Linked DNA regions of Oryctolagus cuniculus. The protein of the gene in region 1 interacts with the protein of each later gene in a pairwise test. Links are inferred from orthologs where the notes say so. Each region holds a gene or a part of one and is shown on either strand. Other genes may lie near its edges.

The links. The genes of interacting proteins can lie anywhere in the genome.
Region 2: the proteins of TRIM42 (region 1) and KLHL38 interact in binary tests that used the Homo sapiens proteins (3 or more experiments, as listed by UniProt). The two-hybrid records come from large-scale screens. The link is inferred for Oryctolagus cuniculus from reciprocal best matches to the Homo sapiens genes TRIM42 and KLHL38.

Annotation. Positions count from the first base shown.
Region 1 is NC_091435.1:141,105,240-141,109,406, forward strand, and holds the start of TRIM42 (tripartite motif-containing protein 42), read right to left. Parts: upstream 2,821-4,167; 5' UTR 2,632-2,820; coding exon 2,291-2,631; intron 1-2,290.
Region 2 is NC_091437.1:149,368,173-149,371,309, reverse strand, and holds the end of KLHL38 (kelch-like protein 38), read left to right. Parts: intron 1-366; coding exon 367-472; intron 473-1,424; coding exon 1,425-1,723; 3' UTR 1,724-2,546; downstream 2,547-3,137.

The sequences.
Region 1 (4,167 bases):
TGCTTTCCCTGTAGGAGCATGGCCCTGTCTCCATCCCCACTCCCTTGGGTGGGGTCCTGGGCCTCAGAGTCCAGGCTCTCAGAGGGGCCTCCTGGGCACACAGGGATGGAGTCACCCTCGGGTGCCTGGAAGGCCCACCTCTCAGGGTTTGGATGCTGGGCTGTAGCCCACCAGCCTTGATGTTCTCAGCTGGTTCCACTGTGCCATCCTAGCCTCCTGCCTGGAGTCATCAAGAGTGGTAAAGGATAACACATGGAGGCTGGATGGACTTCTTGAGTTTGATTTAAAAAAAATGGGACTCTGAGAACCAGGGCGTACTATGACAGGTGTCAGCCAAAGAAATCAGGGAGATGGAGGGAGGTGGGGGGGAAGGGAGAGAGAATGAGCACAGGGTTCAGAGACAGGTGTCAATGGCCTAGGGAGCTGTGGCAGCGGTAGGAATGGAGGTGAGGAAATGAGTATGGCTGAGCGGGACAGGCGAGAGCAGAGAGAGGTGAGTGGCTGTAACTGCTCAGCAGGAGGCGGTGATGAGCAGCAGGGAGGCAGGGCTTCAGGACCCAGGGGAGGGGCCAGGGAGAAGACAGGCACAATGCCTCCTGAAGCTGTCAAGTGCATCCCTGCCCAGCCTGCAGAAGCCTCAGGTGTGGACAAGGTGTTCAGTAGCCAGGGATCCATGCCCAGCTGCCAGGCCCAGCAGCCTGGTCTTCCTGCTAAACTATCTGCCTCTGGTCCTTTCTCCTCACTCTCCCCAGTTCAGGCCTGGTCCCCTTGCCCCTGGATTCTCACTGTCTCTCCTGGCAAGTCTCCTAGCTTCCCTTCCTGCTCCCGCAGGCCATTCTGCACATTGGAATCACCTGAACAGGATGGGCCTTATACAATTCTGATGCCCAGGTGGTACCCCAGGCCAATAACATTCAGAGTTTTGGGGAGGCAGTGGACCAGGCTTAGGTATTTTTAAAGATCCCTGCATGATTGCAAATGCATAGAAATTTGGGAACCACTGATGCCAAAGCCACTTTCCCAAAGCAGCAGTTTCATCCCTCCTGGAATGGGCTCTGTGGCTCTCCGTGGCTGGTGCTTGGAGAACGGGCGTGTCCAGAGAGAGGGGTGTGGCCACTGCTTTCCACACCTTGGAACCTCTGGACTTGCCACTAGAGTCCCTGGATTCCCGCAAGCACCAGAGAGGGCCGTGCACGGAAACTCATGTTTCCTACGCCCCTACCAAGCACCTAATCTCAAGATGGATCTTACATTCTTGCCCTGAGTCCACCAAACCTTTGTTGGTAGAATTGCTGATGCAGCCTTGAAGGCCTTCAGACTTGCTTCCTATTGTTCAGCCTCTCCTAGTCCACTCATCTCACAGTGCTGAGTAAGTCTGTCCTTACCAGGCTCCTCTCACAGGGACAGAAGAAGACTGACTCGGTAGAGTAGGAAGAGGTTATACAGTGCTTAGTGGGGATGACTAATGCCCCCAGTGAGCACCTGGAGGCCCAAAGCACCATGACTTCTCCATGGGAAAGTCGAGGAGGCCAACGGGAGTTCAGATGTGTCTGGGGCACTCAGGTGAATACAGGTCATCAGGCTCAAAACTGGTCCTTGGAAATTCTTACTTTTCCAAGAAACATTGCATATATCAAGAGTTCACAGTAGCAGGGGGAAGAGCGATTTATATTTTTATGTCACCTATCAGGTTACAAAGCACATGCAAAGAGCCCTCAACAAATTCATGGAAAATGCGGATCATGAACAACTTTGCACCCAAATCAACTTATGTCTGAACTCTACTGTCCATGAATTTCACATCAGTCCTCACAGGGCCTCTCCATTTTGCAACACAACACTTGAAATTTAAAATAATGGCTTCTGGGTTCAAATCCTGACTCTGCATCATGCTAGCTGTGTCAACCCAGGTGGCTTCACCTCTCAAAGGCTCTGTTGCTGGGTCCAGTGGGCTCAGGGAGAGGAGGGTTCCCCAGGGTCTCCCATGCAGTGCCTGGCAAGTTGCTTAAGCACTGAGTATTGGCTCTGAGTACTTTGCACCCATGAGAGAGTTGTGGTTCAGAAGAGTGCTGTAAGCATTCACACCTTATGGATTTTCAATTTGGAAGTTAGAGTCTATACTGGTTAGTATACTAGGATATACTTAATTGCTACATGGTTAGTATATGAGGATATACTCAATTGCTACAAAATTCCTGGCTTCCTTTTCCCACAGAGAGAAATGAACCCAGGGGTTACCAGCCCACCCTGTGGGCCCCCAGCTGGCACTGAGTTCCCAGTTTTCACTTACGAGGTGCGGATGCTCTTGAGACGGCCCTTGCGGAAGGTGATGGTGGCATTGCGACAGCAGCGGCTCTCATAGTAGTAGCACTTGAGATTGCTGCTGGTCGTGCAGCAGCATTTGCAGTTGGGATCATTGGCCCAGGAGCAGCAGCACCAGTGGCAGTTGGGGTTATCGGAGCAGGTGCAGTGGCAGAACTGGCAGTTCCGCTCATCCTTGTATGGGCAGGGGAAGCAGGTGCAGTTCCTCTCCGAGGTGAAGATGAACTTGCAGCACAGACAGGAGCATAGCTGAGGACAACATCTTTGCCATGTACAACATGGCGAGCAAACGCACATAGCAGTCTCCATGGCCCCTACATGATTACCACGTCCCCACCGTGGCTCTTGGTGTCTCCTCTACCAGAATCCTGCTGCCAGTTCTCAGTGGAGGTGTCCCTCCTCCCCCAACCCAGTGAGGCCGTCAGCCTGAGAGTTGCAAGAAGTTGGCTGTTAGGAGGCTCTCACCAGTGGTGTCCCTGCCAGGAAGCTCATGGGTTAGCACGTGCATGAGGCCATTTGCTGATGTCACAATCACTGGGTCCTTGCAGTGTCTCACCACGCTGTGGAGCTGGCAGGTGAAGCCTGGAGTGGTTAGCAGGTGAGTTGATGGATACTCCCCTCATGCCTCCGTCGGACCAGCTCCAGGGGAGCTGTCCTTGGTCCCCTTCCTGGTTGTGGGGTAGATTTCAGAAGCTATTTCTTCTTGCTTGGTGTTTGCCCGTAGTTTGGGCAAGCTGATTTCAGGGAATGTCTTCCCAGACTGAGAAGCCTGGCATGACTAATTGGAAAAGTAGATGGACATAATTTTCCTCTCCTGGGTTTTTCCTGCATGATAGAACTCCTTACAGTGTTTACAAATAGCAACAAGGAGGACAGCACGGAAGGAGGTGTCACCATTTGTGGAAAGAACTAAAGGAGCAGAAGACACCGCTTCCTTCAGGAGCTTCTTTTGAAAGTCATTGCTCTTGCCCATCACTGCATAATGACTGGTCTGTTTCATGAGGCTTCGCAGAAACCTCCGAATGTTTTTTGCCAATTCTGCAGCTTCAAGGGGTTTGACCAAGTCTTAGGCTTTACTTCCTTTCCCCCACCCTACTATCAGTCCTCTAGGTCCTGTTAATCAAGAAGTTATAATGCTACATGAGCTTTATACTTTTGTGCTAGCAGTGTGCTCCAGATACCTGGAAACAAGACCCTAATGGGGTGAATTTCGTTTCCACTTGATGCAGCTTGCAAAGGTTAAAAGAGCAAAGTGTTCATGACCACGCCGCATGACGGTATGAAGGCTGCAGTATTACTTTTCCAAAAAGAACTGAAGGCTGAGTTTGGCTGCTCGAGCCGATTGCATAATCCATGATCTCTCCCCATGATGATCGTCTTCATAATAGGAAAGAACGTTTACTGAGTGCTAATGGTGCCAGCCACACACCGATTTTAAGTTTCTAGAAATGAGAGGGCTGGATCATAGGGTATGTGCTTTATCTTTTTTGATAGATGCCACTAAATTGCCTACTCAAATAAATGTGCCAGTTCATACTGACACCAGTAATGGATGAGAGACATCTTTCCCACACATTTGCTCAAACTCAATTTTATCTGCCTTTCTCCCTAGGCTCCAGGCCCAGAGGTCCAAATGCCATTCTTGGGTTCATGGTATATTTTCATTACTGGTCTCTGTGAAGTCCCCTCTTTTTAGAAATTGTTATTGACATTACAATTCACTTACCATTAAATTTACCATGAACAATTGAATAGTTTTCAGTATAATCATAAAACTGTGCAGCTGTCACCAAGACCTAATTCCAAAACATTTTCATCACCCCAAAAGACACTCAAGGGCAGTCA
Region 2 (3,137 bases), on another chromosome or scaffold:
ATATTCAGTAATACTAATAGCTATGGCTTAACTGGAAAGAAAAAACTCACTCCTTGTTCACCTTCTTAATTACTCCTTCTGTATTTTTCAAACCTTCCAACAGAAGTAAAAAGTCACAGGTCCCACCACACAGTGGGGTGCATGGGTTCACAATGATACATTGTATCCTGTAGAAAGAACTAAGAGAGGAGCTGGCAGGTTCCAGACATGAAGGCAGGGAAATGAAAAGGCTAATTGCCTTGTTTGATCGGCTGGCTCTATACATATATGGGTTGCAATTTTGCACTCTACCCCATGAAAATGTATGCATTTTACACCCCAAAATGTGCTTTTGAATGCAGTTCCCTGGATCTATTTCTCCCACAGGTTTATCACATTTCCAGAAACACGTGGTTCAAAATGGAGACCAGGATGATCAAGAACGTGTGTGCCCCGGCAGTGGTGCTGGGGGAGCGGATCGTCATTGTGGGAGGTGAGTGTGAACAGACAGCCGGGCGACTCCTGGGACAATGGCTCTCTGACAGACAGGTGCACAGCCAACCCGAGAAAGCCCTCTCCTTACCCAGAACCATCTCCCTGTCTTTCTGTACAGAAGGGACAAAGTCATGCCTACTTCCTAGAGTTATGACAATAAAGCATACTGCTGTGGCTCGAGCTCTTAGCATACCGCAGACACACAGCAACAGAAAACTATCTGCTGTTGTTGCTAACACTGGCCACTGACAGATCTGTAACATCAGCTACCAATACTAATAATACTGGCTACGAACACACTGGTACCGTTGGCTATCAGGATCAATAACACTGACTACTACTGGATTTCTCTGTAACTGCAACACAGTGCTGTGGTTTAAAGGACTGGTTTTGGCATCAGATAGATCTGGGTTCAATTCCTGACTCTTCCACTAACTGGCTATATGCTCTTTGGCACGTTACTAGGCTTTCTTTGCCTCAGTTTGCCATCAGTAAAATGGGGGTCCTCTAAGTACCCACCAGATAGGGCTACTGTGGCCACCTATTTCTGATTTCCAAAAGGAAGACTTCTTCCTCTGGGTTGTTCCAGCTTTTGGACAGGAGTATGAGAGGGAGAAAAACCAGTGAGGCTGAGAAAGCTACTAGAACTGAGAGGTCGCTCCTAATCTAAAGGTGGTTGATATGTGGCCTTAACTTGGGGTGAAGGATGCAGGAGCCAGGCTCAGCCAGATCTGGGCCCCAACCCCAGCTTTGCCACATACCACGCCATGGCAGCGTAGCTCAGCGGCCCACGCTGTAGCTGAGGATTGCCGCAGCCTCAGGGCAGGGCAGGGGAGGGAGCTGGCTGCATCCCAGTTGGATGTGGAGGGGACTGGGAAGTAGAAGGGACCAGCTAACCTCCCAGCCCAGACGAGCAACACTGAACTGCCCGTGCGCCGTTGCGTTTTCAGGCTACACAAGGAGGATTCTTGCTTATGACCCTCAGTCTAACAAATTCGCCAAATGCGCGGACATGAAAGACCGGAGGATGCACCACGGGGCCACGGTGATGGGGAACAAGCTGTACGTGACGGGCGGGCGGCGGCTGACCAGCGACTGCAACATCGAGGACTCCGCCTCCTTTGACTGCTACGATCCCGAAACAGACACGTGGACGTCCCAGGGACAGCTGCCTCACACACTCTTTGACCACGCCTGCCTCACTCTGCAGTGCCTGCCCCACACAGCCTCCAGAAGCCTCCTGTCTTAGTCAAGATGCTTCCTGTCGCAAGGGACAGAAACCCAGCTCCACAGGGCTTCGCCCTACAGGGATTCAGGGAGAGTCCACAGGACTAGACCTGGAGCCCCGGACCCACACATACTGATGCCACAGACACACACCTCGCCTGGGCCCCGCTTCTTCCTTAGTCTGCCTCCTCTCCTTCTGCCTCTATTTCTCTCTCTCTGAGCCTGTCTCTGCCTTCCCCTCTCTCTGCCTCTTTGTCTCTGCCTCTTTGTCTCTGCCTCCCCACCTTCTCTCCATTAGGCTTCAGTCTCTAACAAGCATCTTCACCCACACAGTGTGCGGACAACGACCCCTGGGAAATCCAGATTGACGTGCTGTAGCTTTGCATCTTCAGGAGCAAACTTGACCCTTACCCACATAGTCACAAAAAATAAACAAATAATGCCGACGGGCCCTTTCTGAACCCCATCCCTACCTCTGGAGCCAACACTGTGGCCAGTTATTTTCCCACTGTAAGATGGGTCCCGGACCACATCCCCCTGGGCAGAGATGTGTGAACTGTTGTGGATAACGGCCCATCTGAACTGCAGGTAATGGGATAGCAGCAGTTCCCCAAACCAAGAAATTCTGGGCTAACAAGAAACGTATCTGCCCAGGGCTCCACTGCTAAGGATCCCTGGGAGCGCTTAGGACAGGTGGCAGCGTGAGAAATGGCCGTGGCTGTATCTCGCCACGTTCTGTGGATGGACTACCTTGCAATGCCAGGAAACGTGCACTGAACATTGAGAATCTAGTGTTTAGAAAGCAGTCCTGCCCTGCCAGAATAAAGATTGCTTCTGGTGCCAAACGATGTTTTCCTCCAGCCTCTGGGGAACCATAAACCTGCAGAATTAATCAGGATTTTCATTTTGGTAAATGTTATGAGAATTGCTCTTCAGGGGAAAGCGAACAGATTCCTCAGAAATTGCAGCAAGCATTGCCCTCCAGGCGCCAGCCCTGACTGTCCCCAGAGCCCCCTTTCCCCTCAAGCCCCTCCCAAACTGGGGAGTCAGCACTACCCACAGGTACCATCACCTGGAAAGAGGTTTGAACAGGGGGCCAAGCTCCCCTGCAAACAGATGCATGGGGAGTCTCACAGGTGGGGCCCAGGACTCTGCATTTTGGGACTGCTTCCCCAGATGATGGTAATGTGCCATCAGGGTAGAGTCACCATCCTGGTCAGCTGGGGCACTGAGAACCTTCCTCGCTGGTACCACTCCCATCCCGCCTTGGCCATGCCCAGCAGTGTAGGCCAAGTCCTTGCCCATGGACAGCAGCACGTGGCATGGGTCTTGCCGCCCAGAGTGGCCCCCACAATGCTGCCTGCCTCCCCACCCAGCTCTCCAGGTCTGTGCTGTGCTCCTCTTTTCTGCCCAGCTTGTGTTCTTCGTGCTCTGGT